Linked DNA regions of Macaca mulatta. The protein of the gene in region 1 purifies or fractionates together with the protein of each later gene. This does not show direct contact. Links are inferred from orthologs where the notes say so. Each region holds a gene or a part of one and is shown in the gene's direction. Other genes may lie near its edges.

The links. Proteins that work in one complex are often made in the same cells at the same time.
Region 2: the proteins of DDX21 (region 1) and RSL1D1 purify together in Homo sapiens (affinity purification with mass spectrometry; 3 studies listed by BioGRID and IntAct, with this or other methods). This does not show direct contact. The link is inferred for Macaca mulatta from reciprocal best matches to the Homo sapiens genes DDX21 and RSL1D1.

What each region holds. Positions count from the first base shown.
Region 1 is NC_133414.1:80,682,318-80,687,177, reverse strand, and holds the start of DDX21 (nucleolar RNA helicase 2), read left to right. Parts: upstream 1-2,119; 5' UTR 2,120-2,175; coding exon 2,176-2,262; intron 2,263-4,860.
Region 2 is NC_133425.1:12,994,496-12,999,355, reverse strand, and holds the start of RSL1D1 (ribosomal L1 domain-containing protein 1), read left to right. Parts: upstream 1-2,235; coding exon 2,236-2,340; intron 2,341-3,418; coding exon 3,419-3,558; intron 3,559-4,860. UniProt on the Homo sapiens protein: Regulates cellular senescence through inhibition of PTEN translation. Acts as a pro-apoptotic regulator in response to DNA damage.

The sequences.
Region 1 (4,860 bases):
AAGGGAAACTTGGGTTCAGATTAGGTAATGTGTCCAAAAATAACAGAGCAGACTGGGTATGGTGGCTCCTGCCTGTAATCCCAGTACTTTGGGAGGCAGAGGTGGGAAGATCACTTGAGCTCTGGAGTTCAAAACCAGCCTGGGCAACATGGCAAAACTCCATCTCTACAAAAAAAAAAAAAAATTAAAAAATTAGCCAGGCATGGTGGCACATGCCTGTAGTCCCAGCTACTCGGGAGGCTGAGGTGGGAGGATCGTTTGAGTCTGGGAGGTTGAGGCTGCAATGAGCTGTGATCACACCATTGCACTCCACTCAAGCCTGGGCAATAGAAGGAGAACCTGTCTCAAAAAAATGAAATAAAGACTGGGCGCTGTGGCTCATGCCTATAATTCCAGCACTTTGGAAGGCTGAGGCGGGCGGGTGGATCACCTGAAGTCAGGAGTTCGAGACCAGCCTGGCAAAGATGGTGAAACCCCATCTCTACTAAAAATAGAAAAATTAGCTGGGTGTGGTGGCGAAGGCCTGTAATCCCAGCTACTAGGGAGGCTGAAGGATGAGAATCGTGGAGGTTGCAATGAGCTGAGATCGCACCACTTCACTCCGGCTTGAGCAACAGAGCTAGACTCTGTCTCAAAAAAAAAAAAAAAGGCTGATTGTCAATGTCAGGTATTCTATGATTCTAACCCATTTTTGAAATTTATTTTTTCATATATATTATATATATAATATTATATATTTATATATGTATATATAAAGACATAGGGGTTTTGCTATGTCGCCCAGGCTGGTCTTGAAGTCCTGGCTTCTTTGGAGGCTGAGGCAGGAGATTCGCTTGCGCCTGGGAGGCAGAGGTTGCAGTGAGCCCAGGTCGCGCCATGGCACTCTCTAGCCTGGGTGACAGAGAAGGAGACTCTTGTCTCAAACCACAAGACTTCTCTCTCTCCCGCTAGTCTATAAAGCTTCTTGAGGATAAGGCTTTTGTGTCTGCTAGTGAATCCTAGCCCTGTTTGTCCTACCTGACACAGTGAACGCTCATAAAATGTTTGAGTGCACGCATGAATGACCGACTAGAACCGACTGAATTTTTTTTTCCTTCAGGCTCCTGAGTCTGGCCGACACTTTCAGAGTAGACGTTTCCAAGAGATGATTAAGAATACACATCCGCAGGCCGGGCGCGGTGGCTCAAGCCTGTAATCCCAGCACTTTGGGAGGCCGAGGCGGGCGGATCACAAGGTCAGGAGATCGAGACCACAGTGAAACCCCGTCTCTACTAAAAATACAAAAAATTAGCCGGGCGCGGTGGCGGGCGCCTGTAGTCCCAGCTACTCAGGAGGCTGAGGCAGGAGAATGGCGGGAACCCGGGAGGCGGAGCTTGCAGTGAGCCGAGATCACGCCACTGCACTCCAGCCTGGGCAACAGCGTGAGACTCCGTCTCAAAAAAAAAAAAAAAAAAAAGAATACACATCCGCGCCGGGCGCGGTGGCTCACGCCTGTAATCCCAGCACTTTGGGAGGCAGAGGCGGGCGGATCACAAGGTCAGGAGATCGAGACCACGGTGAAACCCCGTCTCTACTAAAAATACAAAAAAAATTAGCCGGGCGCGGTTGTGGGCGCCTGTAGTCCCAGCTACTCGGGAGGCTGAGGCAGGAGAATGGCGTGAACCCGGGAGGCGGAGCTTGCAGTGAGCCGAGATCGCGCCACTGCACTCCAGCCTGGGCGACAGAGCGAGACTCCGTCTCAAAAAAAAAAAAAAAAAAAATACACATCCGCGAGTCTGCACGTGCAAACTCGAACAATATAACATAAAGCACTGAAGATGCTCCACTCAAAAGCAACTAGAAGCCTTCATTTTTCAGGCTGGGGCTAGGGAAAATCTGGCCAGTGTTGGAGAATACAAAGCTAACCTTTGTAATTCCTTGCGGTTTTACCGTTCCATAGGTGCCTTCTAGACCAAAGGCCGCCAGTGGTCAGTCAATGCACTAAATTTAGCCACAGTCACAGGCCGTTGCTTTGAATTTACTTCGCGGAGAGCAGTCTTTCCTGTGCTTCCTGCTTTCCCCGGAAGTGCCTTGCTACGGGAAGTGACGAGAGCCGGGTGGACAGAGGAGGGGGAACTACCTCTTCCTCTCCACGCGGTTGAGAAGACTGGTTGACCTGGGCAGCCTGCGCTGAAGATGCCGGGAAAACTCCGTAGTGACGCTGGTTTGGAATCAGACACCGCAATGAAAAAAGGGGAGACACTGCGAAAACAAACCGAGAAGGTGAAACGGAGGGACCTGGGGCCAGGAGGGACGCTGAGTGGAGCGGAACCCCGGGGTGCGGGAGAGGTGCCCGGGCTGGGATCGTGAGAGCGCGCGGCGGGTAACAGCGCGTCCAGAGACCCGGCGTGGGTCTTGACGGGCGGTCGTCCAGCAGTGGTGCGCTCCCAGGCAGTGGATGCGTCTGCCCGACCAAGCCGGGGCCGCCGCGCGCTGACCTCTTCCTCTGAGATTAGAGGCATCCACATTGTTCCAGGAACTCTGGTAGAGAGGCCCTATTGGAGCTCGGGAGAAGGCCGGGTGTCCCACGTGGTCCCCGGCGACTGGGCGCGCCTCACACAGTGCGCAGAGTTGGACATTCAGTCAGGCTCCACGTTGCTGGCTGAGACATAACTCCCGGCTTGAGCGTGCGCGAAGGGAATTACAAGTCAAGTCAAAGTGGGGACTGGAGGCAGGGTGCGGTGGCTCATGCCTGTAATTCCAACACTTTGGGAGGCCGAGGCGGGCGGATCATGAGGTCAGGAGTTCGAGACCAGGCTGGCCAACATAGTGAAACCCCGTCTCGACTAAAAATACAAAAATTAGCCGGGCATGGTGGCTCACGCCAGTAGTCCCAGCTACGCGGGAGGCTGAGGCCGGAGAATTGCGTGAACCCGGGAAGCGGAGGTTGTGGTGAGCCGAGATCGCGCCACTGCAAGTCAACCTGGGCAACAGCGAAACTCCGTCTCAAAAAAAAAAAGTGGGGACTGGAGCTTTAGAGTAGACTGGAGATACCTTAACCTCATCTGCGCACGTGGGCGGCGTCTTTAGTGACTTTTTAAACTCTAGTAAGGGAAGTACAGTTTGTTTTCCGGTAAGCCGCCCTGAGAAGATGACGTAACTCAGTTCTTCTTAGTATTATATTGACTAGATTTCCCATGGAAATGTAAAGGCATGTGTTGCGGTGCTGAGTGTACACCATGTTTTTTTATATAGGCCAGCAGTGTGCAGTAGTCTTAACCTTGACAGCCGTCCCTTGCTTTGCTGTTGCTTCCTAGTGATTTAACTTGTGACTGAGTCTCTGTTCTGAGATAAGTCAGTGGGAAGAAAGATTGTTCTTGGACTTAGGTTGTACACTACTTAGAATGAACTTTACTTGTTTGTTTCCCTGCCTTTTGATATGGAGCTCTTACAATAGCAATATTTTAGAATCGTAGGAAGCCGCGGCAGATTTGTACTCAGGTGCAAGAAGTAGTGGTCCTGGTTTACATCGCATCAGTCAGTTGCTTTCAATTTGGCATGCTCAAATCCAGAGATACATGACCAAACTCTGTTATATTCCAAAAGAGACCACCAGGATGGGAAACTTGGTCTTATTTGGTGGAACCAAGGGATGAAAACGAATAAAATTTTGGAAGGAGACTAGCTTGTTTTTTGTTGGCAAGGAGATTATTTTTAATCTATGATTTGAGAACAGAGACCAGGCCTGACGTTTCCAGGAGGCAGAATTCAGTGTAATATGTATTTCCAAGATTGTTCTGGGGCTCTGCCAGAATAGGTTTCTAAGGAGGCTACAACATGTGTCTAATTGCTTTAAATAGTATGAAAAGTTGTAGGGGGTCAGAAAGTTCAAATAGGAGCCACAGTCATCTGTCTTACTTGGTTCTGAGGTGTCACTCCTTCCATATTCTTGTAACTTATTTATTTTATTTTAAATTAAGTACATCTTTTTTACACAAGGGTGATAGACTGAGTTTTTATAACTTTTTGTTTCATAAAGTGTCTCTTTTATTTTATTTATTATTTGTTATTTTTTTTTGAGATCGAATTTTGCTTTCGTTGCCCAGGCTTGTTCTCCATTGGTCAGGCTGGTCTTAAACTCCCAACCTCAGGTGATCCGATCGCCCACCTCGGCCTCCCAAAGTGCTGGGATTATAGGCATGAGCCACCGCGTCCTGCCCTTTTATTTTTTGTAGAGACAGTCTTACTGTCACCCAAACTAGAGTGCAGTGGCATGATTATAGCTAACTGCAGCCTTGAATTCCAGGGCTCAAGCAATCCTCCCACCTCAGCCTTCTAAGTAGCTAGGAGTATAGGTGTGTGCCGCTACGTCTGGCTAATTTAAATTTTTTTTTTTTTTTTTTGAGACAGTCTTGCTGTGTCGCCCAGGCTGGAGTGCAGTGGCGCGATCTCAGCTCACTGCAACCCCTGCCTCCCGGGTTCAAGCAACTCTCCTGCCTCAGCCTCCCAAGTAGCTGGGACTACAGGTGCATGACCATGCGTGGCTAATTTTTTTTGTATTTTTAATAGAGACGAGATTTCACTGTATTAAGCCAGGGTGGTCTCCTCCTGACCTTGTGATTCGCCCTCATTGGCCTCCCAAAGTCCTGAGATTACAGGCGTGAGCCACCATGCCCAGCCTAATTTTTAAAGTTTTTCAATAGAGAAAGGGTCTTGCTATATTGCCCATGCTTGCCTGTAACTGCTGGCCTCAAACAATCCTCATGCCTTGGCCTCCCAGAGTGCTGGGATTACAGGCATGAACCACTGCACCTGGCCCTAAACTGTCTTTATATAAATTAATTTGCTCTTGTGAGATAGGCAAAGTGCAGAATTCCTGTT
Region 2 (4,860 bases), on another chromosome or scaffold:
TATATAAACTGTAGTGTTGCTGCATGGTGGGATGCCATAGAGCCGTTTAAAAAGATGAGGCAGAGCTTTGTGTACTGACTTGGAACAATCTCCAAGGTACGTTAAGAAGAAAAAGCAAGGTGTGGAACAATGGGTATACCAGGCTACTATATGTGTTTTTCTAATAAGTAAGTTTGGCCAGGTTCAGTGGTTCATGCATGCAACCCCAGCACTTTGGGAGGCTGAGGTGGGAGGATCCTTTGAAGCCAGGAGTTCGAGACCAGCCTGGGCAACATGGTGAGACTCCTCCCTGTCCTCATCTCTACAAAAAAAACTGTAAAAGATATCAGGACATGGTGACCAGAACCTTTAGTCCTACCTACTCGGGAAGCTGAAGCCGGAGGATCTCTTGAACCCAGGAGTTCCAAACTGCAGTTAAGCTATAGTCACGCCACTACACTCCAGCCTGAGTGACAGAGCCAGTCTCCGTTTCTTTAAAAAAAAAAAAAAAAAAATGGCCGGGCACAGTGGCTCACTCCTGTCATCCCAGCACTTTGGGAGGCCAAGGCGAGTAGATCACCTGAGGTCAGGAGTTCGAGACCAGCCTGGCCAACATGGACAAACGCCCTCTCTACTAAAAATACAAAATTAGCCAGGCGTGATGGCGCATGCCTGTAATCTTAGTTACTGGGGAGGGTGAGGCAGGAGAGAATAGCTTGAACCGGGAGGCGGAGGTTGCGGTGGGCTGAGATCTCGCCATTGCACTCCAGCCTAGGCAACAAGAGTGAAACTCCGTCTCGGGAAAAAAAAAAAAAAAGGTAGCCGGGCGTGGTGGCGTGCGCCTATAGTTCCAGCTACTCGGGAGGCTGAGACAAGAGAACTGCTTGAACTGAAAATGGGGAGATTGCAGTGAGACGAGATCACTGCACTCCAGCCTGGGCGACAGAGCGAGACTGTTACACACACACACACAAAAAAAAAAAAAAAGGAAAAAAGAAATTAAACCCATCCAAAAAGAGAAAGGAGAAGTATCTCCTAAACATACCTAGAACATCTCTGGAAGGTTCCAGGAGGCACTGGTAAGGGTACCTCTGGGGAGGTTTGTGGAGTGGGAGGAAGACATTACAAAGCAAGCCTGTCCTACCCAAGGGCCGCGTGCGGCCCTGGAGGCCAGGTTTTGAATACAGCCCAACACAATTTCGTAAACTTTCTTAAAGCATTATGAGATTTTTTTAAAGATTTTTTTTAAGCTTATCAGCTATCATTAGTGTTAATGTATTTTATATGTGGGCCCAGACAATTCTTCTTCCACTGTGGCTCATGGAAGCCAAAAGATTGGACTCCCCTGTTGTAAGATATTCGATTTGTCAGTTACCCAGCCTCCGCTCTTACTTGCTTCTTTGTTTAGCGACAAGGTCTCGCTCTACTGCCTATGCTGGAGTGCAGTGACGCGGATCAGAACTCACTGAGCCTCCAATTCCTGGGCTCAAGATCCTCCATCCTCCACCTCCCAAGTAGCTGGTACTACTGGCGCGCACCACCACGCCGGCTAATCTTTGTATTTTTTGGAGAGATGGGGTCTCGTATATTGCACGGGCTGGTCTCCAACTACTGGAATCCCTCGCCTCGGCCTCCCAAAGCGCTAGGATTCCAGGCGCCAGCCACGCGCACGGCCAGCCACGCTTTTTTGTGGATCTTACCTCTCGCCTCTCTGCGAGACCAGAAGCTAAGAGATTGGCTCAGACTCATCTTTCAGTCCCTCACGCTGCTTAACGACGCGCCGGGTGGCTCCCGTGCCTTATATTTCATGGACTCCTCACCAGCCTGGGGTTGGCATCGCCTAAAGTCAACCGGCAGGTGGGCAGTAGAGCCAGGATTCCGCTCTCTGCCCACGCCACGCGCGGCCTTCCCGGAGGCGGGGACCGTGGAGTGTGCGGGACCCCACTGAGCCTCCTGACGGGACTCCCGCCTCAAGGTGCTTTCTTGATTTCTATCGTGTAAGATTGAGGGGACACCCAAGCTACTACTCACACCTCATGGAAAGCGGGAGAAGAGCAGAAGAGCAGGTGCCTCCTCAAGGAACAGACTCTGACAGCAGCCACCGCCCTTAAGTGCAAAACCCTACGCTCGCCCGGAAATGACGCACAGAGGCTCGGTTCCCGCCCCCTCGCTTCCGGGTCCGGGCCTCGCTCGCGCGTGCGCAGCAGAAGCCAGCCGCGGGGTTTCACACCCGCGTCTTCACGAGGTGAAAACAAGATGGAGGACTCGGCCTCCGCGCCGCCGTCTTCTTCAGGCTCGACTGCAACCTCCGCCTCGACTCCAGGGGCCCCGACAGCACGGAAGCAGCTGGACAAAGAGCAGGTGAGTGGTTCCTGGGGAGGGTGGCTTGGAAGCGGGGTGGCGGTGACCTCGTGAGGCGCAGGGTGCCAGAACCTGAGTGCGTGCTCGGCGCACTTCTCCGAGGCTGTGGGACGGTCGCTTGCGGGCCGTGTGCCTCCCCCTTTAAACACTTGGGTGGGCGCCTGCTTCCCCCAGTCCTGCGGCCTGGCGCTCTTGAATTGGGTTGCAAGTGTACCGTGGAGCTAGACGAGATGACCTGGCGACCTGGCTTAGCTTCCCTATCGTTAGCCCTTGACCGAGTCGTTTAGTTTTGCAGGTCTGCTACCCGTTATTTAAAATGGGCCCTTCCACTCCCCGCTATCCAGGATCGGGAGAGGTAATGCGTGTAAAGCGCTTTGACCAGGGACCTGGCACGTGGTGAGAAGGTACTCAGTAGGCCGGGCGCGGTGGCTCATGCCTGTAATCCCAGCATTTTGGAAGGCCGAGGGGGGTGGATTACCTGAGATCAGGAGTTAGAGACCAGCCTGGCCGACATGGTGAAACCTCGTCTCTACTAAAAATACAAAAATTAGCTGGGGGGTGGTGGCGGGCGCGTGTATTGTCAGCTACTCGGGAGGCTGAGGCAGGAGAATTGCTGGAACCTGGGAGGCGGAGGTTTCAGTGAGCCGAGATCCTGCCATTTCATTCCAGCTTGGGCGACAAGAGCAAGACTGTGTCTCAAAAAAAAAATAAAAACGAGAGTGCTCAGTAAATGCTAAATGGATGACACTTTGCGCTTTTCGTGGGATTACTGCTTTCATCGTTGAGGGTAGGAGAGGCACGTTTCCCTCTGGCCCGATCTCTTAAGTAGAAGAGGCGTCCTGCAGACAGTGCTGGAAGTGGGTACTTAGGCGTGTTTGATGGATTCTTAGATTTTTCTGAATATAAATTGCAAGATCCTCATAGATACGGTTATGGAGGTTACCCCTTGAAATTGAAGTTGGAAGGGAAAAAATAGGTGTGAGAGGGGACAAATGCTAAATTAGATTGAGAACATTTCACTTATTTGTGTAAGTTATTGTGAGAACATTTCACTTATTTGTCAATCTTCACTTTGCAGGTTAGAAAGGCAGTGGATGCGCTCTTGACACATTGCAAGTCCAGGAAAAACAATTACGGGTTGCTTTTGAATGAGAGTGAAAATTTATTTTTAATGGTGGTATTATGGAAAATTCCAAGTAAAGAACTGAGGGTCAGATTGTAAGTTGTGATTTTCTACCTTTGCTGTTTTTATCTGCTTGTTCATTCTTTGTAACTCGAACAATTCCATCGTAGTTTCTAATGGAAACTTTGCAAACTTACAATAAAAATCTGACATGAAGTAAAACAATTACGTCTAAAAGAACCATAAAGGTTTGGCGTGGTGGCTCACACCGGTAATCCTGGTACTTTGGGAGGCCGAGGTGGGCGGATCACCTGAGATCAGGAGTTCAAGACCAGCCTGGCCAACATGGTAAAACCCCGTCTCTCCAAAAATACAAAAATTAGCTGTACATGATGGCGGGTGCCTGTAATCTCAGCTACTGAGAAGGCTGAGGCAGGAGAGTCGCTTGAACCTGGGAGGCGGAGGTCACAGCGAACAGAGATCTCTCCATCGCATTCCAGCCTAGGCGACAGAGCAAGAGTTATCTCAAAAAATAAAAATAAAAGAACTGTAGGAATTCACATGTGCTAAAATTTTCTAGAAATTTCACCAGTTTTTGACTGGGTGCAGTGGCTCACGCCTGTAATCCCAGCACTTTGGGAGGCTGAAGCTGGCGGATCACAAGGTCAGGAGATCGAGACCATCCTGGCTAACACGGTGAAACCCCGTCTCTACTAAACACACACACACACTATCCGGCCGTGGTGACGGGTGCCTGTAGTCCCAGCTACTCCGGGAGGCTGAGGCAGGAGAATGGTGTGAACCCAGGAAGAGGAGCTTGCAGTGAGCTGAGATCCGGCCACTGCACTCTAGTCTGGACGACAGAGCAAGACTCTGTCTCAAAAAAAAAAAAAAAAAAAAATGACCAGTTTTCTTAGAGCTTGGTGAACAACTAACGTAATCAGGTCTGTTAAATCGAAAACCTGGTGTTTGAAAGAATAAAGGTGGAGTAAGTTAAACAGCTTCTATTTTTTTTTTTTTATTATTAGAAACCGTTATCTTTCCATGTTAAGCAAAAATTCTTTGGGGCTACAATTTATTCCTTTGTACAGAGACTACTAAAAACTCCAGTGAAGTCCTTTCTATGAAAAAATCCATGGTGATTATACAAAATGTTTCTTCAGAACATAGGTTGTAAGCATAAGAAATGAGTTAAACCCTCTTATTTTATTTTCTGTAAGATGTGGCATAATTGTGTTTGCTGGTCCCGCTTGTTTTATTCCATGTTTTTGGTTTCGATTCTTTTATCTCTTTTTTTTTTTTTTTTTTTTTTTTTTAAGACACAGGGTCTTGTGCTGTTGCCTAACTGGAGTGCAGTAGTGAGATCTGTGTTCGCTGCAACGTCGACCTCCCTGACC